Xenopus tropicalis: one gene and its partners. The protein of the gene in region 6 binds, or shares a complex with, the protein of the main gene of each other region. Links are inferred from orthologs where the notes say so. Each region holds a gene or a part of one and is shown on either strand. Other genes may lie near its edges. The genes, in order: med24, med7, med26, med21, med12, med25 and med18.

Region 1 (4,264 bases), on a different chromosome or scaffold from region 6:
TAGCTGTGCCCCTCATTTTAGATGACTTGACATACCTTTTCATATTAAGGGTTAAGTTTTAACTTTTGTTCCTTTGGAGTCCTAGGATTCATACACCAGTGGATGATGCAGAGGTTTATTTGCTGATCACTTTCTTTTCCCTTAGCCACACCCACATTCATTAGTAGAGTAAACGTTATCTTTTTGCCAGTACAGCACTCTGTAGTGCCAGTTTTCTCTTTACACCATGTTTTTGGATCAGTATGAAGAATCCTAGCTGCTCACTCAAAGGAAATCTGGTCAGCTGATGGCATTAATAACGATTGTTGGGGACAGTAATGGATGGTATTGAACTGGGTATACAGTAATCCAATTGTGTGGGGTGCACCTGGCACAAAGACCTTCTGAGCAGATGATTTTTTAAAAAACACTTGGTTAACAGTACTATAACCAGACATGTCAGCTAACCACATGTATATTTGCCATCTTTTTGCACAGATAATACCAGCAGGGGTAGGGGCAGGTCAGTATAGAGACTGGCTGTGACATAAAAGGGTGGATGGAGTTGTGACATCAAGGGTCAAATCTGATGTTGGTAGTATGACTGGTGTCTGTTGGAGCTGAGATGGGAGTGGTGTGCTTGGTCAGATAGATTAGTTATTACAAATATATATCCAAGTACATTGATGGTAAATTTGTAATACTGGCAATGCCCTAGGCTGGTAAAATACTAACCAGGTGGCAGCCCTAAACCTGTCAGTCAGGGTTTCCTCTTCACTTTCAATAGCAACATGAAAAATGGTCTTAAAAATACCCAGAGTGGTTAATTATTTGCAATATCTACATTTTTACAGGAGAGTTTAGGCCATGCCATGACCATGTTCATGCCCCTACTCCTCTGGCTCTGCCATCTTTACCTGAATCTGCGGGGATTTGGGGGTTTAGGCCTTTTAAATTACAAGATTGACTGAGCTATAACTATGGATGTCTAGGGCCAGAATAGCATTATTCCCAACCCAAATCTGCATTATCACCCTAAGGATTGTCTTGACAACTAAATCCTCAAATGCTGTTATGAGGTGACAATAAAGCACTTTATACTGAAGCCACTGTCCCTTTAATAAAAGCAGATCCAAAAACATATAACAGAAACCACTTATAAAGGAGATAGGAGACGCAAAAATACATTAATAAAATGACCAGTTGCAAAGTGGCTTATATTTCTTCCATCTTCTAGCTACTTCAATTTAATTTAAAAGTTAACTTTCCATTTAAAATATCAACCAAAAATGAAGCAGAAGTTGTCCCATGACAATTTGACGTTCCCGAAATTAGCCATCATTCCTCTCTATTAAAGTTGCCGTTTTGGCCTTTACAAAGATGGCGGGTTTTCGTTTCCTTATACGCAGCCAGCACGCTTTCCTCCTGTTTCGACCTTCCCAACATGGCGCCGATTCGATTTTTACACGCATCAGGGTTACGGATGACGTAAGCCGTAAAGGACTGGTACACCCTCCGCCCCCTTGCGGCGATTCCCTTTTGTGCGAGGGGTCGAAATTGTTGCTTCCGGGGACCGGACATCGGAGGCGATAGCCGAGAGAGGGAAAGCGAGTTACTCGGTGACTAGCGAGGCACTGTGGTAATAGGGACAGCGAATGAGTGAGAGGTGGGTACTGCTACTGTTACTACGAGCGTATATAGGAGACATCTCAGGGCACATAGAGACATGCTATAGTGTTTTTGGCAGGGTTTAGGTGGGAGTCTGAAGATTTGGTTAGGAACTGTATGACATACATGTGTATTGGGATTATATATATATATATATATATATATATATATATGCCAGCACTGTGGGTACTTACACATTACATGCTAATACTGTGCCATACAGGTGGTTACTTACAGGTGGTACAGAGGGCACTGTAGTTAAAAGTGGGCACTCCTTACTCCATCACTTTCCACTTCCTCAGACCCTGGTGTCAACAATGAAAGTCAAACCCACAGACTGAGAATTGCAGACTCAGATACACACTGGCCAAATTTACTACACAACTGTAGACTTGGTTTAACACTGTATTAGGTCTTTGGTACTTGGGTGTTTTGAGTGCCACTGCCCCTGTGTCAGGCAGGGTGCTTTTCATTGATTAACATTACAACTAGCTTCAGACAAGCCCCCTGTGTGTAGTTTTAGTTTTAAATGGGATCAATATCTTTCTCCTTAAAGGAGTATTCCACCCAAACACAACTTAAGCATTTGGAAAAGTATACATGAATCTGGCTGACTACTTTGTGACTCAAATAAAATGTAACAGTAGTCACCTGTCTTCAGTCTGCATATTCCCAATCCCACAATTCCCTGTTGCACATGTGATGTCAATAAGGAAAGAAACATCACAGTGCAATGCATTGTGGGTTATGTGAATCTTGCATGCTGTCTGTAAGCTGTGGAGAGGTTGTTACAATTTGTAACATCAGTGTTTTAGTCCCTCCTTCCCTGCCAGGATTTTAAATGATACAGAAAGAGAAGAACTGTTTTGCAGCTAGATTTCAGCATATCAAAATGGTATTTATTCATACCTTTTGAAGGAACAGATTACAGTGATAGGTATATTAGAGGTTTCTGTGTTGTGTGGGGCTCTTTAGCAAATTTTTGTTTTGTTTTTGTAGTTCCCCTTTAATGTCATCAGTGTCTTACAGAACTGCTGCTTGGTATAGAACTGAGCAAAGAAGCATCAGGAGATTATTTCTTGTTCATTAAAGTAGAACAGCAGTGAAGCTTTTGTTACATACAATCAGTAATGAAGATGAAAAATTAAGATTATCTCAAAAAGTTATAAAGCTATGGTTCCACACAAAATCCTTTTGGCTGATTTTGAAAATATTCATTTTCACTTTTCAGCGTGACTATATGCATGCTGCTTTGTACTTTCATTTTTAATCAGTTTTCCAAATTTCTAATTGATATCTTTAACTTGAATTGAAAAATAGTTTGAATTTTTTAAATCCAACTCCCATTGACTTCAAGATGAACTTGTCAGCTTTTAGACACAGATTCTTTAATTTGAATCCCTGAGTTTCAGAAAATGAATGTATTTAGCTTTTTGCTGAGTAGCTCTCCAGTTTGCAATTTCAGCAGCTATCTGGTTGCTAGGGTCTTGGTTACCTTAGCAACCAGGCAGTGGTGTGAATGACTGGAATATGAATAGAAGAGGGACTAAATAGAAAGAATAAGGAATAAAAAGTTACAATAAAATGAAATTGTAGCCTCAAAGAGCAAATGTTTTTTGGCTAGTGGGGTCAGGGGACCCCCATGTAAAGATAGCAAATAATTAAAAAACTATTAAAAACAAATAATTAAGACCAATTGCAAAGTTGCCAATAGTACATTTTATAACATACTAAAAGTTATCTTAAAGGTGAACCACCTCTTTAAATCACAGTAAAAACTTGTATACAGATTTATATAAATCTGACCCTAAATGTTTTCTATGCCAGCAAAGAAAAGGCTGGCGTTGTTAAAACCTTGTTTTCATAGAAGACATTGGAATCCTCTGATTCCACTGTGAGAAGTAAAAAGAACCCTACAAATTCAGGATACCTTTTGGACAATTTCACCCATAATATTCTCCATAATTAACCTTTTTGCCCCTAAATTGCGAAAAATCTGGCCCATGTTTGCACATAAAACACTGGGATCCTCTGATGCATCTGTGATTTAAAAAAAACAAAAAACTCCACATTATTAAAAAAAATCAATTTCACCTATTTTCTTCCACTAAATTGGCCCATATTTGTGCCTAAATTGTGAAAAATCTGGCCTTCGTTTTCGTGTCGACTTTCAAAAGCCACTGTGAAAAAAAGAACCTAAACACACTAGATGCATTTTAGTAGTTTCATTCACTGTCTTTTCCTAAATTAGCTTTTTGTCCCTAAATTGTGAAAAATATTGTCGTCGTTTTGACAGAGCACTGGAATCCTCTAAAGAGCCTAAAGAACTTTGGCCAATTTTACACATTTTCTTCTGTTTAAGTAGCCCTTCGTTTGTGCATATATTGTGAAAAATCTGTCCCTAGTTCTTGCATTAAAAACACTTGGACCCGCATTCAGTCACTGCATTCTCTTAAATTACTTTTTTTCTTGTTCCAAAATTGTGAAAAAATATGACAGTTTGCACAAAAATTAGACCAAAGTCTGATGCCAAAGTAAAAGAGCCTAAAACATCAATTACATTTGCAAATCAAAATAACTGCTTATTTATATGTTACTTTTGGTGACAGCTGGTGTG
Region 2 (3,122 bases), on a different chromosome or scaffold from region 6:
AACGTTTCGGACCAGGTCTAGGACCTTTATCAAGATGTTAAGCCATAAAAAGTCACACACATAATGAGTCTTTATATAATACAAAATGCCTAACCCCGCCCACATTGAGCAGAGCCCCAACCCCAAATTGTGAATTAAAGAAAACACATCAGTACAATTAATTAATTGTAATAGTGTTTATTAATTGTACTGATATGTTTTCTTTAATTCACAATTTGTGTATTTTATTACATTAACATTTATTTATAAAGCGCCAACATATTCCGCAGCGCTGTACAATAAGTGGGTTACATACATTGGACATACAGAGTAACATATAAAGCAATCAATAACCAATACAAGAGGTGAAGAGAGCCCTGCCCAAAAGAGCTTACAATCTACAAGGAGAAAGGGTTGAGACACAAGGTGTGGGAATGGGCATGGCCAGAGTTGTGAGAGGTGTGGCACAGGGTATTGCTAAACTAGATTAGGGTAAGCCTCTCTAAATAAGTGTGTTTTTAGAGATCTCTTGAAGGCAGAGAGATTGGGAGAAAGTCTGACAGTTTGTGGGAGCGAATTCCAGAGAAGGGGGGCAGCCCTTGCAAAGTCTTGAATGCGAGCGTGTGAGGAGGGAATGAGAGAGGAGTTGAGGAGCAGGTCAGTATGTGCTATACAGGATACCTCGTTTCGTACGATAATCGGTGCGTGTATGGCATGTCGGCGAGTCGACCGATATCGCAGGAATCTGCTGATATCGGCCGACTCGCCGATCGGACCAGTTTGAAAATTTTGATCGGGCGCCATAGAAGGCGCCTGACCAAAATTCTCCCTTCAGAGCTGAATCGGCAGAAGGAGGTAAAAATCCTATTGTTTCTACCTTCTTACCTGCCGATTCAGCCTTGAAAGGTGTGTGGCGGATCTGACAATGTTTCGTGCGACCGATGGTCGTACGAAACATCGTCAGATCGCCACGTGTATGGCCAGCTTAAGGGTTGTGAAATGGGGTTGGGGCTATGCTCAATGTGGGCGGGGTTAGGCATTTTGTATTATATAAAGACTCATTATGTGTGTGACTTTTTATGGCTTAACATCTTGATAAAGGTCCTAGACCTGGACCGAAACGTTGATGTTTTTAACTTTATAATGTAACAATAAATGAACTAAAAAAATACAGGAGTGCGCATCATCAATTGGAATGCATATATATATATATATGTGCTGCACACACAGGGATTTATATTGTTATTTGTATGTAACTGAATGGGCTTTTTCTTTCTGTGTCACAGGTTCTCCTACTCACTTCATAATGGGGGAGCCTCAGCAGGTCAGCGCTTTGCCTATACCTCCCATGCAGTACATTAAGGAGTACACAGATGAAAACATCCGCAAGGGCCTGGCCCCCAAGCCTCCCCTCCCCATAAAGGACAGCTACATGATGTTTGGCAACCAGTTTCAGTGTGATGACCTTATTATCCGCCCTCTGGAAACTCAGGGCATCGAGAGGCTCCACCCCATGCAGTTCGACCATAAGAAGGAGCTGAGGAAGCTCCTTATGTCCATCCTGGTCAACTTTCTGGATATGTTGGACATCCTGATCCGAAGCCCAGGCAGCATCCGAAGGGAGGAGAAACTGGAGGACCTAAAGTTGTTATTTGTTCACATGCACCACCTTATTAATGAGTACAGGCCCCACCAGGCACGTGAGACCCTGCGGGTGATGATGGAGGTGCAGAAACGTCAGCGGCTGGAAACGGCAGAGAGGTTCCAGAAACATCTAGAGCGAGTGGTGGAGATGATCCAGAACTGTCTGGCATCGCTACCCAATGACCTCCCTCTTTCTGATGGCGCAGTCAGTGTAAAAACTGAACCAATGGATGTTCGGGAACCCTGTACGGACCATCATGCGGGGCCCCAGGAGGCAGCAGCAGCTTCTCTGAAAGAGACCACAATTGATAAGGATGCAGCTATGTGTGTTATCATCGATGAAATGACCTAGTCCAATAAGCAGTTCTAATCAGGACTCTTGAACTTTAGAAGTCACAAGGATTCATTGAAATGCAATAGCATGGCTCTATGTGTTGGTTGTATTCATCATGGGACTTGGCAAGGAAAATGTTTGTCCCAAGGGAACTCAGTCACAGCTATTGCTCATGTACATGTCTGTTTATTGTGCTTTTCTGCCATGCTTTTGAAAAGGCAGTATGCAAGAAGGCTAATATTTTTCAGTGTTTTCCCTGCCAGTTCATGTGTATGAGGAATGGAAGGTTGTAGTTCTGCAACACCTGGGTGGTAACTGCTTATTTGTGATTAAACAGACAAAGGACTGGGGTCAGACTTTTGAATGTTATCTAACTGATATACTATGTATGGAATCTACTCATTGCAAGTTATGTTTGTACAGTTATTCACATGTTCTGAGATATCAAAGTTTATTTAAAAGTTAATATTACAATTGTTTGTATCTTTTTCTCTCTGAATTGGAATATTTTAGTCTCAGATTGGTTTGGAGCATGAAAATCCCAAAATGGGTGCTGTTATCTGTTATAGGAGAAGTCCATATTTTGAAATGCTCGCCTTTACAGTTTATCATGTTTATTTACTTTAATATTTGTATTACTGCATTATAGTTTTAACCCTCTGTCACTTCTAGCATCTTTCCTATTAATTATCCACCTCCATTAAGGATGCTGTGTGCATTCACATTACATGCAAGCTTTCTATCTCCCCTGTGTCAGCCTTTGTGACAAAGCAAGGGTTAAATGACTGTGCTTAGGTTGGGATCAAATTCATGAATGGTAGCAATGAATATACATTTTATCATGATAGGAGGATGCTATGCTGCACTGTAAATAACAACACACTGTGAGCACTAAGGTGCAGGGACAAGAGCTGCTATACAGAAACAAAAACATGAGTACCAGGATCTGTGCATTTACAACATTCCATCCTCATTCTGATTGGTAGAATGGATATGTTTAAGTAAGCTCCACCCTGCAGTCTACAGATGCTGGCCAAAATATTTGGAAGGTAAACTTGTTGGCTGCCCCAGCCAGTTGTTATTTTCAGAAGGGTGGTGCTGTGGGCACCTAGGCCTTATTTCCTAAGGAGGTTGGTGAGATTACAGGAATCCCCATCAGTTGCAG
Region 3 (3,410 bases), on a different chromosome or scaffold from region 6:
AGGAGTCTTATTTGACTCTGCTCTCTTTCCCCACATTCAAACACTCTCTAAATCTTCAGTTTCAGCTCAAAAACTTATCCCCAAGTACACCCCCAGACATTACCTTTGCTCTGCACACAACCTGCTTCTCTCCTTCTCACTCATCACCTCCTCTCATTCTCGCATGCAGGACTTCTCACATGCTGCACCCATCGCCTGGGATGCTCTTCCCCATCCCATTAGGCACTGCCAGAGTCTCCAGGCTTTTAAACGGTCTCTTAAAACTCACCTTTTCATTCAAGCCTTTAGCCTAAGCCCTCAAAAATGTAATTACCCACTGAACACCCCTAATATTTCTCATACACTCACTAACCACTGGTTTTCACCTCTTACTCTGCACTTACTGTCACTTCACACACAAACATGAACTCTACCGCCATAACTAAACCATTTTTTGTGCATTGTCTATATTTACATGTTAACTATTTTGTCTTTTGTACCCCTTTTATTCTGTAAATCACTCTGTGAATTGACATTCTCTATAAATAATATAGCAGCTAAGATAAACCCTGTAGAATACAATGGTGTTTTATCTGTTATCTGCTATATAACCTGTTACTTTTCTCATTCTAGCTTGAATGGCTGCCCCCATGGCTAAACATCCACACATACACACACATATATATATTATATTATATTATATATGTGTGTGTGTGTGTGTGTGTATGTATGTATATATAAATATATTACACACTAAAACACTTTTGGTGTTACTCATGTCACTGTATGCTCTAAGTCTGTGGCTCCTTCAAAAAAGGTGGTGAGCACCACTGTAGCTAATCTATTTTACAAACGTTTTATTTTTTAATTTCAAAAATAAAATCTTGGTTTCTTAAAGGTATATACTTTCTAAGTTACTCATACTATTATGAAATGTGTTTTTCCACCCCCAGGAAACTCGACTAGGAAAACTGATTAATGATGTTCGGAAAAAGACCAGCAATGAGGAGCTTGCCAAGCGTGCAAAGAAACTGCTGAGAAACTGGCAAAAGCTGATTGAGCCAGTGACCCAGAATGAACAACTTGTCAGGGGCATCTCTAACTTACCAGGTTCTGCCAATGGAGGTGGCTCCCACAACTGCAAAGCAGAGCCTACACCAACTACTCTTCTTGGTGGGAAGCCCATACAGGGGCTGAAAGACAGGAATGATATTCAGAGGGCACATTCTCCAAAAGCAGATAAAACAACCAACAGAAAGAGAAAAGGAGAACATCGGGATGGTGGCCTGAGTACCCCAGGACATGTATCCAAGCCCAACCATGAGCTTTTTCAAAACTCCTCACCCCCACCTACAAATGGCATTGGGGGAAGTCCCCCTGAGAACCTCCCTAGCCCTCTGGATGGAGGTTTGCAATCTAATAGACTGGAACCTGCTGAGAATGACAAGCATGGAAAAATACCAGTAAATGCTGTCCGGCCTCATACCAACTCTCCTGGACTTGTAAAACACCCAAGCACTTCCTCTCTGCTAAAAGCAGTTGTCCTTCAGCAGCACAGTGGGGGGTTGGAAGATGTCCTTTCTCACCAGCCCAGAAGTCCCCGCTGTTCCTCCTTTAGTCCCCGTGGCACTCGTGCAGAATTAGCTACACGGCAGCACACCACATATGCACCAAAGGGTTCTGCTCCTAGTCCTTCCCAAAGGCTACCGGGTGTAGACTCTGCACATCAGTCCCCTTTGCACCCTTCTACGCCCCCTGCCACAGCAAAAAGACTGGAGTCCCCTCGACAGGACAGAATCTCCTCCCCACACAAGCCGGTAGAACAGTTACCCTCCACTGATTGCCACCAGGTCTTACCTAGAACGTCACAACAGCACACCCCCCGCAGTAGCCTTGTAGACTCTCAAACCCCCCGTACTGGCTTTTCACCAGAGTCCTCAAAAGTAGATAGTGATGATGCAACATCAGGCTCAGACAACCGCAAGAGGAAAAAATCCAGACTTCGAACAGAGTTTGAGGGGCATTCTGCAGATGGGACTGGTAAACCAGCAAGGGTAAAAAAAGAACGCAAACTAACATTTGATGTTATGACAGGGCAAATTAAACCCTTAACCCTTAAAGATCCAGTGCAAGCAGAGAGTACAGCTCCTTCAGAACAACACAGGACTGAGACTGACAAACAGGATCCCAAGTTATGCTTGCCTAGTCCCTTTCAGCTTACGAACTGGAAAGAGCTGTCTCGAAATGAAATCATCCAGTCCTATCTCAATCGGCAGAGCAGCTTATTGTCTTCCTCTGGTGTACAGACGCAGAGTGCACATTATTATATGTCAGAATATTTAAAACAGGAGGAATGCACTAAGAGGGAAGCAAGGAAAACTCATGTTTTAGTTCCAATTGTTCTTCCAAGTGATCTGCCTGGAAGAACCAGGGAAATCACTAGCAGTGACACAGACAGAATACACAACCAACATTGGCCTGGTGTCAATGGCTGTCATGATACACAGGGCAACTGGTATGATTGGACGCAGTGCATCTCATTGGACCCTCATGGGGATGATGGTAGATTAAACGTCTTGCCTTATGTCTGCCTAGACTGAGCGCGGGTCCCAATTCCGCTTTCTCACATCCACGGTTTTCACTGCAAAACCCTGGGTCGCTCAGCGACCACCGCTCATCAAAGGAGATTTGTCGAGTGAGGAGCCCCCATTTCAGTTTTGGGGATGGTAGATGGAGGGGCTGATAGAGCCAGAAGCAGAAAAGAGATGTTTAGAGGGTCACTACTACATTCTGGGAATTATCCGCAGGTGTCTCAGTGCCTGCTGCACCCATCCCTTTGCGCAAAATGCTGCTACCGGTTTAATACTATAAATGAGGAAAAGAAATGCAGTGGAGGGCTATATAGCAAGTGAGCTGTAGTAAAAAAAAAAAGAAAAAAAGAAAAAAGTGTTAAATTCAAACCAACCCTAAAATCAGAGTGAGGTTTTCCCGGTACCTGCAGAAGGGCTGGAATAAAAATATATATAAATATATATATATATGACAGGTACCGAAAGCTTATGTGAGATGATTTAAATAAGTTGAAGATGTTACCTTACCATAACAAAGTATGCATTTATTTATTTGAATTAATTTTTTTTTTCCAGATTTTATTTCTATTGCCATTTAATTTGACAGAACCGCGTCTTAAATATTGACGCACTTAAACTTTGTGTTCCTAGCATCTCAGCTGGTCCTTTAAATTTGTAAAAAGAGAGAGCAGAAAGTCTTTAAATCCATTACCTTGGCTTACCTTTTCAATTTGAGTTGTTTCATGTATTTGTTCAGTCTCTGAAATAGTTTTGACAGGCTTGAACATTCCACAAATCCCCCTCAAATCCATATTTTAATAATTTTACACCTCAATTACCACTAAACTGTTGAAATTGCTG
Region 4 (4,184 bases), on a different chromosome or scaffold from region 6:
CCCCCATACTGTACTGTCTAAGGGAAACACTATGGCACCCCCTACCCATATGTATAAATACAAATATACAGAGAAGGAATGTTCTGGGCACACAATAAGCTGTACCCCCATACTGTACTGTCTAAGGGAAACACCATGGCACCCCCTACCCATATGTATAAATACAAATATACAGAGAGGGAATGTTCTGGGCACACAATAAGCTGTACCCCCATACTGTACTGTCTAAGGGAAACACTATGGCACCCCCTACCCATATGTATAAATACAAATATACAGAGAGGGAATGTTCTGGGCACACAATAAGCTGTACCCCCATACTGTACTGTCTAAGGGAAACACTATGGCACCCCCTACCCATATGTATAAATACAAATATACAGAGAAGGAATGTTCTGGGCACACAATAAGCTGTACCCCCATACTGTACTGTCTAAGGGAAACACTATGGCACCCCCTACCCATATGTATAAATACAAATATACAGAGAAGGAATGTTCTGGGCACACAATAAGCTGTACCCCCATACTGTACTGTCTAAGGGAAACACTATGGCACCTCCTACCCATATGTATAAATACAAATATACAGAGAAGGAATGTTCTGGGCACACAATAAGCTGTACCCCCATACTGTACTGTCTAAGGGAAACACTATGGCACCTCCTACCCATATGTATAAATACAAATATACAGAGAAGGAATGTTCTGGGCACACAATAACAAAAAAGAAAGTCTAAGCAGGCACTGCCCACACAGGCTTTTCAATACAGATAATAAGGGAAAGTCATATTCAATTTGGGTCCCAATTTCTTAGGGCCCTTATGTGCTAACCAGGGGCCCCAGGGCCACTGTATCTCTATGGAATTATCTTTATTTACTCGCTCTCTGAGACCCCCCAGTAACAGGATCAGGGTTAGAGAGCAATCCCAGCAATCCCACAGGCACCAATAACACTGTCTCTTTAAATTCTTCTTGATTCTATTTATCCTGAAACAACATAGACAGACTGGCGACTCTGTAGCAGCAACTCCACAGCAAAAGTGTAGCCCATGGAGGATTATGGCCCCCCCCCCCCCTTCCATCATAAATGGAATATAAAACCTGAATACAATTGTCCAATAGGCAGCATCGCCCTCTAGCGACCAAAAGAGGTATCACACTGAACGCTATTTAGCAAGTTGGCAGGGAACGTCCAGTGTAGGTAGAAGTACACATGCGCAGTCTCCTTTCCGCCGTTACAACCCCGCCTCTACTGAGGCTGGCCAATAGAAATAGGCGTTTCTCGTTCCTCCTATTGAGAAAACGCCGCAGTGACCCTTAGCCAATAGAAACCTTTATTGTACCAGTTAGCCAATAGGAAGCGGCGCTGAAGGTATGGGCGGCTGGTTCGGCTTTGCCAGCTGGAAAGATGGCGGACCGGCTGACGCAGCTCCAGGACGCGCTGAATTCGGTGAGCGCTTTATCTGTGTGTGGGGTTTGTGGGGTTTGTGGGGAAGGGAAATACATCCTCTCGCTGCCCGCAGTTGGGTCCCATCTCGGCTTTATAGTCACATTGTAACTAATGGTTTATTCCATTCATTGCTCGCAGCCCCCACACTGTGTCCAATGGATCTTATTACCCAGAACCCCATGTCTATGAGGGTTCCCTCAGCTGATGCGGATTATATCGCCGCCCCATCCCATATATATCCCCGTATATCCCATATATATCCCTGTATATCCCATATATATCCCCGTATATCCCATATATCCCCCTGTATATCCCATATATATCCCCGTATATCCCTATATATATCCCCCTGTATATCCCATATATATCCCTGTATATCCCATATATATCCCCGTACATCCTATATATCCCCCTGTATATCCCATATATATCCCCGTACATCCTATATATCCCCCTGTATATCCCATATATATCCCCGTATATCCCATATATCCCCCTGTATATCCCATATATATCCCCGTACATCCTATATATCCCCGTATATCCCATATATAGCCCCGTATATCCCACATCCCCCTGTATATCCCATATATATCCCCGTATATCCCACATCCCCCTGTATATCCTATATATCCCCCTGTATATCCCTATATATATCCCCGTATATCCCTATATATATCCCCGTATATCCCATATATCCCCGTATATCCCATATATCCCCGTATATCCCATATATCCCCGTATATCCCATATATCCCCGTATATCCCATATATATCCCCGTATATCCCTATATATATCCCCGTATATCCCATATATATCCCCGTATATCCCATATATCCCCGTATATCCCATATATCCCCGTATATCCCATATATATCCCCGTATATCCCATATATATCCCCGTATATCCCATATATCCCCGTATATCCCATATATCCCCGTATATCCCATATATATCCCCGTATATCCCATATATATCCCCGTATATCCCATATATATATCCCCGTATATCCCATATATATATCCCCGTATATCCCATATATATCCCCGTATATCCCATATATATCCCCGTATATCCCATATATATCCCCGTATATCCCATATATCCCCGTATATCCCATATATATCCCCGTATATCCCATATATCCCCGTATATCCCATATATCCCCGTATATCCCATATATATCCCCGTATATCCCTATATATATCCCCGTATATCCCATATATATCCCCGTATATCCCATATATATCCCCGTATATCCCTATATATAGCCCCGTATATCCCTATATATAGCCCCGTATATCCCTATATATAGCCCCGTATATCCCTATATATAGCCCCATATATCCCATATATAGCCCCGTAAATCCCTATATATATATCCCGGTACAGATAAGTACTTGCTATTGGCAGCAGTGCCCAGCTCCACCCCCAGGTTCTGACTCCTGACACAATGTAGCAGGTCAGTTTAATACCAGCCTATTAACTCCCTCAGTGCCAGGGGGGCATTGGATGAATGGAGTTGTAACCCCTCCCCTTTGTCTCTCCAGCTGGCCGATCAGTTCTGCAATGCCATCGGGGTCCTCCAGCAGTGCGCTCCCCCCGCCTCCTTCAGCAACATCCAGACGGGCATCAACAAGGACCAACCGCCCAACCCCACTGAAGGTGAGAGACTGCGAGTGGCCCCCAAACTGCCCCGTTACCCACCCAAATGCCATTGTAACCACGCCCACTGCGCACTGACACACCCCCAGCACTGACTACCAGACCAGCACACAAAGGGTGTGAAACTGTCTGTCACTGCTCTGTGTGTATCAGCCAATGCGTTTATAGACACGGGGTAGGAGTACCGGGAAATACACTCCCCCGTGCACAGGAAGCAGAGACAGTCACACGGGTACCAGGAAATACACTCCCCCGTGCAAAGGAAGCAGAGACAGTCACACAGGTACCGGGAAATACACTCCCCCGTGCAAAGGAAGCAGAGACAGTCACATGGGTACCGGGAAATACACTCCCCCGTGCACAGGAAGCAGAGACAGTCACATGGGTACCGGGAAACACATTCCCCCGTGCACAGGAAGCAGAGACAGTCACACGGGTACCAGGAAATACACTCCCCCGTGCACAGGAAGCAGAGACAGTCACATGGGTACCAGGAAATACACTCCCCCGTGCACAGGAAGCAGAGACAGTCACACGGGTACCAGGAAATACACTCCCCCGTGCACAGGAAGCAGAGACAGTCACATGGGTACCGGGAAACACATTCCCCCGTGCACAGGAAGCAGAGACAGTCACATGGGTACCAGGAAATACACTCCCCCGTGCACAGGAAGCAGAGACAGTCACATGGGTACCGGGAAACACATTCCCCCGTGCACAGGAAGCAGAGACAGTCACACGGGTACCAGGAAATACACTCCCCCGTGCACAGGAAGCAGAGACAGTCACATGGGTACCAGGAAATACACTCCCCCGTGCACAGGAAGCAGAGACAGTCACATGGGTACCAGGAAATACACTCCCCCGTGCACAGGAAGCAGAGACAGTCACATGGGTACCGGGAAATACACTCCCCCGTGCACAGGAAGCAGAGACAGTCACATGGGTACCAGGAAATACACTCCCCCCTATATTTATATCAAAACATTATATCGATTGTTCTGCTTTAGTGCCTTCATACTCGTTTCCCAGTCTGTTGCTATGGGCCTCTGTAGGGGAAGTTCA
Region 5 (3,017 bases), on a different chromosome or scaffold from region 6:
CTGTCCTAGACATGCTCAGTGTTCTGATCAACGGAACTCTGGCAGCTGATATGTCCAGTATATCTCAGGGGAGCATGGAAGAGAATAAAAGGGCATACATGAACTTAGTAAAGAAACTGCGGGTAAGGGATTCTATGCATGCCTTTTTTCCTATTTGTATAGAAACAACCACATCTCTTCTAATCTCTTCTTTCTATGTTTCCTGTAGAAAGAGCTGGGTGATCGTCAGTCTGAGAGTCTAGAAAAGGTTCGTCAGCTCCTTCCTCTCCCCAAGCAGACTCGGGATGTAATAACTTGCGAGCCACAGGGATCTCTTATTGATACCAAAGGCAACAAGATTGCAGGTTTTGATTCTATTTTCAAAAAGGAGGTGAGTGCTTTAAGCTTTAAGTCTTGCTGTGCAATGCATGACCTTGGTATAGCTGCTACTGCAGGTGACAGGACAGTAAAGAGTAAATTGGAGTTTCAGCTTCTATAGTTAGATCCTTTCAGTTGATAGTTCTACTCCACTGCTCTGTGGTCCTTCTTCTGAGTAAGACACCCAGGATCTCTGGTTGCCCTAAAACACAACATATCAAACATGTATCAGAAAGCTGCAGGCTGACAGCTGGGGTTTGACCAGGAACAGAGCCCTTTTGCAGTACACCCAGATGTAGGCCACCTTGGGGCTTCTTGGCTAGGATCCTCTTAGCCACCGTGTTTTGTCCCAGAAATTAAGAATAAATAAAATTAGGATTGTACTCTCCTTTTCCTTACCGTTGGTACATTTCCTCTCTGCGGCTTCCCACTAACCAGCCTGCATTTTGCCTGCCTTTGCTGCTTTTCTTTTTCACATCGATTTTCTCCCTAAATATCTCCTCCTTCCTTCTACAGGGTCTTCAGGTTTCCACCAAACAGAAGATCTCCCCTTGGGATCTGTTTGAGGGGATAAAACAGTCTGCTCCTCTTTCTTGGGGCTGGTTTGGTACTGTACGTGTGGACAGACGTGTGTCTCGCATGGAGGAGCAACAACGTTTGCTCTTGTATCACACCCACTTGAAACCAAAGCCTCGTAGTTACTACCTAGAGAACCTTCCTCTTCCACCTGAGGATGAAGAACCTCCTACTCCTACAAGTACCGAGCCTGACAAAAAGCTCAGCGAGGCTCTTAAGGTGGACAAAAGTGGAGTGGGTGGCACCACTAACACTGATGACAGGAAGAAGCCAAGCAAGCCCAAAAGAGAGAAAAAGAGGAACATGGCACCCAGCAAAGTAGAGGTTTGTCTGTCTCTTTTGTTCTCCCAGCGTGAGCACCAAGATTTACTGTTATCCGCAACAAGATATTTGAGTTGCAATCTCAAATATTGTAGTTGCTACTCAAATATCTGAGCACTTCTTTGCCACTTCCTACCATCTTAACAAGCCCTTTGCTTGTGACCTAATAGGAATTTCCACTTGGTCCTGGCCGCCCGGGCCCTTATGGAATGGTCCCCACTGATCTTCTGCATACCCAGGCTGCTGGAATGTCCCGTTTACCTTATGCAACCCAGAACATGTATGCTCAGAACCAACCACTACCACCAGGTAAGTATATGTCTTACTTCCTTTGGCAATAAACTTTCAAAAGGAAATATTCTAAGCCTTCCTGTTCTGAACACTCCTAGGTGGTCCGCGTCTAGATAACTCATACAGACCTACGCGGATGGCTATGGTAAAGGTTCCTGCCCGACCTCAGTATGTCAGTGGAGTCCCTCAAGCTGGGATGATGGACTCATACAAGCCTGTGATGTACAGACCACAGCCGCCAATTCCTCAGGGGCAACTATTAAGACAGCAGCTGCAGGCTAAGTTGGTGAGTTTGAGGTTGTTTTTGGTGATCAGGAAAATTTGGATAAATATAAATAGTGTTCAGTGTCTTTGCAAGGCTGTTTTAGCCAGAGATCAGTTTTCACTGGTGGTTCTGCATACAAGAGCTTTGACCTTCCCCCTTCGTAGTTTGTGGGAGGAATGTGCATTTCAGAGAGGACCTGAGATTAGCACTAAAAACTTATGCAGATTTTTGGTAAAATAGTGGTGGTCTCTTATGTAGTTTACTCCATACACATCTGTGTGTCAGTATTACTCGGGCAGATTCAGAATATTATCGTCTCCTTTATAGGCACAAGGAATGATGCCGCAGCCTGTACGGCAGATGAGTCAAACTCCTTCATATGGCTCTATGCAGCCTCAGGTATGAATGGGGGGATTAAGTGGGTTGTTTCATTCTGTATTTTTCTGAGAACTGACTTGTTTACTCTTCTTTTGCCACCATTTTAATTATATCATAAAATGTCAAACTTTTTTTTATGATATTATTTCTTTTCTTACTGTACTTCCCTAGGGTTACACATCATATGGCTCTCATATGACCTTGCAGCAACACCCTCCTCCATCCCAGGCTGGTGCTTTGGTGCCCCCACCATACAGTACTCAGCAATACCCTGGATCTCTTCCCCCTTCTGGTGGGGCTCTTCTTGATCCAGTGCGCCAGATGCAGCAGAGACCCAGCGGCTATGTGCACCAGCAAGCCTCTGGTTTCAGTCACAGTGCTTCAGCTGGACAAAGGTATGTACAGCTGTAGATAGGCGTGTCAGTTGCTGATTAAATGACCATAATAACACTGTTTGTACCATTGCAGATTCCCGCACCAGCAGATAACTCAGACAGGCATGATGCCAAGCATGGGTCACCTTACTACACAGCCAGTAACAGGTGCAATTCGGCCTCAGCTGTTACCTGAACAGCAGCAACAACAACAGCAGCAGCAGTATTTAAGACAGCAACAGATATTAAGGGTAAGAGGTTAGAAAACTAAGGGGCTATGATAATATTTTCAAACTAGTTTCTATATCTGGCCTCCTGGGTTGCTAGGCCGAGTGACAGAGGCTTAGGGATTTGCAGAATTTATTTTGAGTAATAAGCAGACATAACTATTTTCAGCAACAACAGCAGCAACAACAACAACAACAACAGCAGCAGCAGCAGCAACAGCAGCAGCA
Region 6 (3,959 bases):
ACTGTGTATGGGGGGTACTGTCTCCCCTGTGTGGGGCGGCAAAACTGGTAGATAGTTAAAACTCACTTATATGTATTGTAACATTTGTCCTCCCTGTGTGTAATTCTGTATATTGTAAGACTGTACAGCGCTGCGTACCCTTGTGGCGCTTTATAAATAAAGTTATACATACATACATACATAATTGACTGCCTTCTCTCTATATTTGTATTTATATGTAGGAGTTGCTATTTTGTTTTCCTTAGGTAGTACAGTATGAGGGTATAGCACATTTGCATCTGATCCCACCATTTCTACTATATAAAAGGAGTATTTTTAGAAAAAATGGGGTGTGTTAATTGGGGCGTGGCCACAAAAGTGGGCATGGTCAAAAAAATTTGCCGCACTGCGCGCACCAAATCTTTTTGTCCCTCTTTTTGTTTTTCAAATGTTGGGAGGTATGCATATGCCATCCCACCAGCGATTTACATTCTTACCAGTGGGATGGCATGTCGGGGAGATTCGGCGCCTACAATAGTGAAGATTTATTGCGGGGACATCTCCATGTGTGCCACTGCCCTCAAAAGTGATTGTCACCCAATATCTTTTCCTTATCCAGCCCTTTTTATGTCCCTACATTGTACAGGACATGAACTTTGTTCACACAAATAACACCAGGGCACTAACGATTACTGGGACTGATATCCAACACCCATTATATTCTCCTAAATTAGCCCACTTTCCCCCTTTAAAGTAAAAAAAATATTGCTATAGTCTCCACATAAAACTAAAGCAGCGCTCAAAATAACTAGAAGTCTGTTTATGGGTAACAGCTGGTGAGGGTCTAGCTCCCCTATTAAACTAGAAACCCCTGCCTGAATGGGCTTCCTAAACGAGCTTATAAGGCTGGGTCAGGTACACAAAAGTAAAACATACTTTTTGTTCCTTGTTTTATTACTTTGTTACCTTTTTTTGTTTGTTTTATTACTATATTGAGAAAAATCTGCCCCCATAGGGTGTAACTAACAACTCATGAGTGAACATCACAGCCACACTTCATTGTCAGTCATCCCTGAGCTACAATAGCGGCTGCGTGTTGCGTCACCGCGTTTATAAATGTACGGCGTGACGTCAAAATCTCGCGAGATGAGAGTTGAGACTTGGGACTAGCTGTCCGGCAGCAGCAGCCGAGGCGCTGGACATTGCCGGGGTTTGTGGGACGATTAAGCAGCGGCTGGGATTGCGGGATGCGTTAGGGAAAGCGGGGCTGTCCCGCGAAAGGCGGGACTGTTGGGCGGTACGTATGTGTGTGTGTCTATACGTTCACAGACTCAGTGGGAAGCCCTAGTTCATGTAGGAGGAAGACATGTGTAATACTCTTTCTTTTCATGGGGACCCGCAGCAGCTGAAGGGTTAATGCCAAGGCAACCAGATTCCCTCTTGGTGTTGCTGAACTGAACGTGTAAACTTGTGTCTTGGTCTGTTTGTGTTTCTTTAACTTTGTAACTGGACTTTATCTCTATGGAAAGGCAGCTGCAATGATGGCAGAGCTGGGGGGCTCCCTAGGTTTGATTCCAGGAAGGAAATCACCTACAAAGAATGGGTCTCCCTGTGTTTGTATGGGTGCCTCCTGGTACCCAGTGTTAGGCTATAATCCAAAAAGTTTCATTGGTTCCTGATATAATGTGCGTGAGTGTGATAGCGACTTTAGATTGCAAGCTCTGCTGGGAAGGGGGCTGGGGGCAATGATGTGTAATCATCAGATCTGTTATACAGAGCAGCAGAATATATTGCCGCCTTTATAAGACAGGACAGTTTTTCTTTGAAAATTAAACTAAAGCTCCATTCTGCTTCCTGATCCCAATGAGCATAGTCAAACAAACCAGCAGCCCACTGAGCAGCCTCTGTATAAACAAACCCCTCTTCCTACAGCTCCAGCCTGTTATTCTTTGATAAAGAGTAACTCATACAGATGCCTTTTAGTGGGCTGCTGGGTTATTTGGCCCTGCTGTTTGGGATCAGGAAGTAGAATGTGGCTTAAGTATGATTTTTTTTAAATGTTTATCTGTCAAAGGTAGGGGCTTGTTTAAACAGAGGTAATATTCCCCATATAAAAACTCTGATTACGGTAGCAGGGAAGGTAGTAAGCAAAAACAATTTTCCACTTTATTATAATAAAGCAAATATATTTATTAATTCAAAGATCCTGCAGAATGCTTGTACAACCCAAACCTTATTTATTTTGACCCTTTAATAAAAACATGGCAAGTGTGACTCATTTAAGAAACCTGTGTTGTTTTCAGCAGGTGAATGCAGTAAAGAGCAATCAGGGGCTTCTGCTGCCACAATCTGAAAGAAAACGAATGTATTTTTATTCTTCGCTTAGGGTGGATCAGTGAGAGGCTTCAGCAATGGATGCAGCCACACCAGGAAACGGCGGCATAATATCCGATGTTGTCTTTGTCATAGAGGGAACGGCTAATTTAGGACCTTACTTTGAATCACTACGGAAACATTACCTGTTACCTGCAATAGAGTAAGTCCTACTGCAAATATTTGGTAAGGAAGTACTTAATCCCCCAGGATTTTTGAAGTAGAACAAAAACAGGGATTCTCTGCATTTGACCACTCTCCCTAGTTGCCCTGTGAATGGCTGCCATGACTGGGTTCTGCCTCTGCTCTCTCTTAGCAGCCACCAACCAGGAGCATGAACACTTGACTCAAGGAGCTTATTGCCTTTACATGCACATGTGTATTTCTGCTAAAGAACAACCCACTGCACAACTGCACACCACCAGTATGGGAAGCAGGGCCATCCTAAGGTGGGGGTGTCTTCGCTGCAGTTAAGGAAAGGGGACTAATACTGGGGACCCATAATTAAACCATGCATTTTGTTCTCCCTTAAAGCTGAAGCTTTCACTTTCTTAAGGTGGCCATGCACGTTAAGATACACTGGTTTGGCAAGGTTGCTAAACCAGCGGATCTTTCCCCAATATGGTGGCCAATAAGGTGGGCCAAATCGGGCTAATTTGATAATCAAATGACAAAGACGGCTATTGGAGCCATTGGACCGAGAACCACATCAATGAGCCAATACAGTCCCTAATCCAACGCCCATCCAATTGACACCTTGCTGATTTTTAGCCAGATATCATTCTGGGATGCCCATTGGGGGTCCCCATACAAGTGCAGATAAGCTGCCAAATCCGTTTAAATCTGCCCATGCATGGCCACCTTTACAGTTTCTGCTGTGAATTCTCATAGCCCTGTAGTATGTAAACAAAATATCACCAAACTTTTTAAAATGCTATATTATGCTAAAATTCATTATTCTGTTAAAAGTAAAACGTTTCCCCTCTTCTTTTCTTTCTTAGGTATTTTAACGGTGGACCCCCAGCAGAGACTGACTTTGGAGGAGATGTGAGTAACGCAATAAACACTATTTACTTCTGTGACAATTTATCTTGGTTTTCTAAATGTGGGCTTACATTCTGCTGTTTTGTCTTCCAGTATGGCGGCACCCAATACAGCCTGGTAGTGTTTAATACGGTGGACTGTGCTCCAGAATCCTATGTCCAATGTCATGCCCCCACCAGCAGTGCTTATGAATTTGTCCAATGGCTGGACAGCATTAGGTAAGATATTTGCTTCTCTGTTCTCTCTCACTGCTGTAAGTCTCACCTGAGACAGACATGTGATCTCTGCTAGCTAGAACCTAATACTGGTATGGGATCTGTTTTCCAGAAACTCATTATCCAGAAAACTTTGAATTACAGGACAGCCACCTCCCATTCATAATTTTAATATTGATTTTGTTTTGTTTTTTGCGAAACATTCCTATTGGGTTTGTTTAATGTTTTAACAGGTTTTTAGTAGACTTAAAGTTTGTAAATCAAAATTACGGAAAGATCCCTTACCCGGAATAACCCAGGTCCCATACATGTATTTTTAATCACGTGGCTCTTGTAGACGGCCAACTT
Region 7 (4,168 bases), on a different chromosome or scaffold from region 6:
TTGAATGGCTGCTCCCATGGCTACACAGCAGCTTATTTATATAAACTATAGGAGCGTTCTGTAGCAAATACACCGGTTTTACCAGCGCAGGGCAACAGTACATTACATTTCAATTACTTTAAAACACTTTCATATTTTGGTGTTACTGTTCCTTTAAGCAACAAACTCCTTGCAGTACACATATTAGAAGCAGCAAGGCTTCTTTTAGCTCAAAAATGGAAAACCGATCTTATTCCCTCAATGCTGGAACTAAAAAACTTTATCAACCTCTCACAAACCCTTGAATATCACAATGCAATGGGACTCATGGAAGAACTTTACTGAGGCTGATATCCAGGAATTATAGCTAATAATTTATATTATTTGCTCTTCATATTTTTTTTTCTTTCTTCTTTCTCCTTTCTCTTTCCCCTGTTCTCTTCCTTTTCTTTCTTCCTACTTCACTTCCTTCTCTCTCTATGCTCTCTCTTCCTGTGATTCACGTACAGACACATTCAGTATTTGAGATACATATAGATATAATGCAAATCTTGAGAGTTAAACTTTTAGATGCAAAAAAATTGTCAATTAAAAAAGAAAAAAATTAAGGAATACAACCAATAACCAATACAAGAGGTAAAACAGGGTCCTGCTCAAAAGAGTTTACTGTAAAGTCATAGGATTTTATCAGTGCATGTCAAGGCACCAGTGGTTACCACTGGTGCCTTTCAGCACAGATGCCATGAGTTTGATTTTTATCTAGGCACTATCTAACAGGAATATCTATGCATGTCTGCATGTTTTTATTTTTCTCGAAAAACATACAGATAAACCAAATTTTAATTTAATCAAACCTTTGTTGTGTGAAGTTGATTGAGACTAGTGTTGCACAGACCAGCCTAAAATGTCTGGACCCAATGGCTGGGCATGATCGGGCTGGTGCAACACTTTTCTTGTTCTAGTCCTGACTCTACCCATGTACCACCCTGTGATGTCAGCATGTTGCAGCACTCCACTAGCTGGCTACCATCCTATTTATATCTTTATTCTGCCAAACCCCTCCACTCCAGTGATGCCAGGCATGTGTGGGTAAGGCATCACTAATTACGACCCTATAATAGCAGCTCCAATGGTGAGCAGAGGCTTTTGTAAATGACTAATAATTAGTGCTTCATCAGGTTGGCATTATATAAACATAATAAACAGAAAATAAATGAACTGCAGGACTGGCATTACTTGGGGCTAAAAAGAAATGGAATGATATGCCGAGACAGAAGGCTATTTTCTGTAAACGTGACCAAATACTATTTACATTTTTTGATAGCTATAAAATTATATACAGAACACCAGGATCTTCTGCATAGCTGTATGCGTGTGTCACACTTGGGGGTAAGGGCGGGGCACCAGGGCTTGTGCCGGCTGAGGCAGGGAAGACCGGGCCGTGACGTGACCAAATGCTATTTACATTTTTTGACAGCTATAAAATTATATACAGTGACTACTAGAACCATGTTTTCGTATACCTTGCTAAACAAACAGGGGCCTAAACAGACTTTTTGGTTAGAGGGGACAAACTAATACCATTAATACAGTAACAGTACAGTTTGTTAGGCTGTTCTTACCTTGCAGTAAGTACTCCATCATGTTAATAGTTCCTCCAGATACAGGCATTGTTGTGACTGGGGGAGCCTCCATTGCAAAATGTTAGTTCTCTAAATAAACAAAACAAATATATTATACACAATATTCATATGTTTACAATTGTAGTCAAGACAAGGCTGAATCTCCACTAATACTGCACTGCTTATGTTCTACTAGAACCCCCCTCCAGCCTGAACTTGTCCTGAATAAAAACAGAAACAATTGCATTCACTTTGCCAGTACAATGCTTCAGATTATTTTCCTACTTTCCTAGGTATGGTTTAATTTAGGGGTGCACCTAATTCAGGATTTGGTGAAGATTCTGCCTTTTTCAGCAGGGTTCAGCCAAATCCAAGCTTCAGGCCAAACTATATCCAAATCCTTAAAATCAGGTTACTTTTGCCTAATCTTTCACAAAGAGTTCAACCCCGGTGATTCATCCTTTCCTTCTCCTTTAACAATACCTGACATAGCACTATGTGCACAAGCCTCACATAGACATAAATGGGGGTCATCCCACTTTTAGATCTGTTAAGTAGAGTACTACCAGGCTAGCAAAATGTTGTTTTATTCCTGGGATGTTGCTCCCAGTGGCCTCAAAGGTGTTTATTTTTGAATTCCTGGCTTGGAGGCAAGTTATGGTTAAAAAAACAGGTGCACTGCCAAACAGAGCCTCAAATTAGCCAGTCCACATAGGGCCTACCAAATAGCCAATCACAGCCCATATTTGGCACCCCATGAACATTCACATGCGTGTGTTCCTCCCTAACTCTTTTTACCTTTCTATGTGGTTCATGCATAATAAGGTTTGGGGATCCCAACGTTATTCCAAAGTTATTAAGCAGGAAGTAAAACAAAGACTGTAAGGCCAGTCATTTCCTACTGAAAAGACAGCAATCCTAGGTGTTTTGTGTGTACATTTTTATGTAATAACTGTATATGCAGAGCTGTGTTTTCTTTTTACAATTCATTAACAATAAAGACACAGAGGTACAAACACGGCAGCTGATAAATACATACACTTACTAAAACAAAGTGCCCGACAAAATTTTGTAAATAAGTGAATGGAACCGGGATGCGACGGGATCAATTACTTCATTTAGAGCACAGCCAGCAAGCTCAAGCAGCTAATAAGTTAAGTTCCGGTGCCTAAGTGCACGGCTAACCCGCCATAAAACAACTCTCCCTCAAGTCCTCAGGAGGCTGGCTCCAGAACACCAGGAGCTTTTGCATTTGCGTACTGCGTGCGTGTGACGCACTTGGGGTGAGGGCGGGGCACCAGGGTGCCTGCTGAGGCACGGAAGACTGGGCCGTGACGTAGCACGCTTGTATGTGCCGTAAAGGAGAGGACGCTCGAAATAGAAGGTATTAACGCAGTCGTGGGGGGAGGGGGGTATTTTGCCCCTTATTTCGTAGGAAGCCAATACGATCTGCCAAAACCAAAAATTCCCCTACTGGTGGGTGATTAGATTACTGAAAATTCAGGACCACGTCTAATAAATACATGTTGCAGGGCAGCACTGATTGCATTTAAAATCAATACAGCCCTGCTAGCTGGATTTTTTAGACATGTCCCTAAATTTAAAGTAATCGGGCCACCCTACTACTGGCAACCATATATCTTAGTACAAATCATAGATCTTTACTTGCTCTTAAACCTGTCTTGGCGCAATTACAAATATGTGATAACATTGGTTAATGCTAGCACTGGTGGCTTAATTTTGACTCAATTATAACTTGCAAAAAATATGCAAGTCTGTCCACTTCTTGCTCAGAACAGATGACAATGGTAAAGCTTGAATACTGATTTTTGTCTCTTCAGGACCTGCCCTGTTTGACTCGGACAGCTCACTTTTTGGGAGGACTGTTTGGGGCAAAACTCCCTGCCCAGTTTTTCAAATTAGGGAAACAGGGCAAGACTCTCTTAGACTGACAGTTGCCAGTGGCCGATCACCCGTCATAACCCCACCCCTGACTTGATTGACCATGCCTCCATCACTCACCTGATTTATTGAGAAATTCCACCAAAACCATACTAGTCCCGCCCATCAGTTCCACTTCCTGCTGGCTGAATTCTCTGGATGAGCTGGGGAGCCGGCGGCCCTCCGTACACTACACTGTAGGATAGGAACCAATCAGCAGCTAGGCTGACCTGATAGGGAACTGAAGCCTGTCTTTGCTTGTGTGAGTGCAGGGTTGTGATTGGCTCTCCCCCTCCTACTGTGCTTCTGGAAGGGACCATTAGGACACGCCCACTCTTCATTTCACACTGGACGGAGAAGTGATACAATCTATAGGGAGCTCCAATAAAGGGGCCATTTTTACAGATAGGATTAATTTTTAGCACAAAGTGAAACCAGCACCTTATATTATTTATAATTGCCTACAAAATAAGTGTTTTTCTCATTTATCCAATATGTCTCCTTTAAAGGCACATATATTCATTGCTACAGAGCTGTGGTCACCTTTGGCTTTTCGAAACCCCCAAAACGTAATATACAACAATTCTGCCCTTCTTCTTTAGTGGCCAGGGGTGTTTTCATCATTG

What was found.
Region 1: med25 (region 6) and med24 share a complex: the UniProt entries of both Homo sapiens proteins name them as parts of the mediator complex. The link is inferred for Xenopus tropicalis from reciprocal best matches to the Homo sapiens genes MED25 and MED24.
Region 2: med25 (region 6) and med7 share a complex: the UniProt entries of both Homo sapiens proteins name them as parts of the mediator complex. The link is inferred for Xenopus tropicalis from reciprocal best matches to the Homo sapiens genes MED25 and MED7.
Region 3: med25 (region 6) and med26 share a complex: the UniProt entries of both Homo sapiens proteins name them as parts of the mediator complex. The link is inferred for Xenopus tropicalis from reciprocal best matches to the Homo sapiens genes MED25 and MED26.
Region 4: med25 (region 6) and med21 share a complex: the UniProt entries of both Homo sapiens proteins name them as parts of the mediator complex. The link is inferred for Xenopus tropicalis from reciprocal best matches to the Homo sapiens genes MED25 and MED21.
Region 5: med25 (region 6) and med12 share a complex: the UniProt entries of both Homo sapiens proteins name them as parts of the mediator complex. The link is inferred for Xenopus tropicalis from reciprocal best matches to the Homo sapiens genes MED25 and MED12.
Region 7: med25 (region 6) and med18 share a complex: the UniProt entries of both Homo sapiens proteins name them as parts of the mediator complex. The link is inferred for Xenopus tropicalis from reciprocal best matches to the Homo sapiens genes MED25 and MED18.

The regions. Positions count from the first base shown.
Region 1 is NC_030678.2:112,543,924-112,548,187, reverse strand, and holds the start of med24 (mediator of RNA polymerase II transcription subunit 24), read left to right. Parts: upstream 1-1,464; 5' UTR 1,465-1,645; intron 1,646-4,264. UniProt on the Homo sapiens protein: Component of the Mediator complex, a coactivator involved in the regulated transcription of nearly all RNA polymerase II-dependent genes.
Region 2 is NC_030679.2:14,184,237-14,187,358, forward strand, and holds med7 (mediator of RNA polymerase II transcription subunit 7), read left to right. Parts: upstream 1-1,254; 5' UTR 1,255-1,285; coding exon 1,286-1,975; 3' UTR 1,976-2,622; downstream 2,623-3,122. UniProt on the Homo sapiens protein: Component of the Mediator complex, a coactivator involved in the regulated transcription of nearly all RNA polymerase II-dependent genes.
Region 3 is NC_030677.2:112,253,949-112,257,358, forward strand, and holds the end of med26 (mediator of RNA polymerase II transcription subunit 26), read left to right. Parts: intron 1-932; coding exon 933-2,579; 3' UTR 2,580-2,910; downstream 2,911-3,410. UniProt on the Homo sapiens protein: Component of the Mediator complex, a coactivator involved in the regulated transcription of nearly all RNA polymerase II-dependent genes.
Region 4 is NC_030679.2:3,065,995-3,070,178, forward strand, and holds the start of med21 (mediator of RNA polymerase II transcription subunit 21), read left to right. Parts: upstream 1-1,384; 5' UTR 1,385-1,410; coding exon 1,411-1,452; intron 1,453-3,004; coding exon 3,005-3,119; intron 3,120-4,184. UniProt on the Homo sapiens protein: Component of the Mediator complex, a coactivator involved in the regulated transcription of nearly all RNA polymerase II-dependent genes.
Region 5 is NC_030684.2:44,423,774-44,426,790, forward strand, and holds part of med12 (mediator of RNA polymerase II transcription subunit 12), read left to right. Parts: coding exon 1-122; intron 123-208; coding exon 209-370; intron 371-873; coding exon 874-1,257; intron 1,258-1,424; coding exon 1,425-1,563; intron 1,564-1,643; coding exon 1,644-1,831; intron 1,832-2,137; coding exon 2,138-2,209; intron 2,210-2,359; coding exon 2,360-2,583; intron 2,584-2,656; coding exon 2,657-2,813; intron 2,814-2,958; coding exon 2,959-3,017. UniProt on the Homo sapiens protein: Component of the Mediator complex, a coactivator involved in the regulated transcription of nearly all RNA polymerase II-dependent genes.
Region 6 is NC_030683.2:117,454,692-117,458,650, reverse strand, and holds the start of med25 (mediator of RNA polymerase II transcription subunit 25), read left to right. Parts: upstream 1-1,159; 5' UTR 1,160-1,276; intron 1,277-2,282; exon of another isoform or gene 2,283-2,365; 5' UTR 2,366-2,390; coding exon 2,391-2,515; intron 2,516-3,353; coding exon 3,354-3,399; intron 3,400-3,489; coding exon 3,490-3,614; intron 3,615-3,959. UniProt on the Homo sapiens protein: Component of the Mediator complex, a coactivator involved in the regulated transcription of nearly all RNA polymerase II-dependent genes.
Region 7 is NC_030678.2:78,266,383-78,270,550, reverse strand, and holds the start of med18 (mediator of RNA polymerase II transcription subunit 18), read right to left. Parts: upstream 2,801-4,168; 5' UTR 2,647-2,800; exon of another isoform or gene 2,641-2,646; intron 1,692-2,640; 5' UTR 1,675-1,691; coding exon 1,602-1,674; intron 1-1,601. UniProt on the Homo sapiens protein: Component of the Mediator complex, a coactivator involved in the regulated transcription of nearly all RNA polymerase II-dependent genes.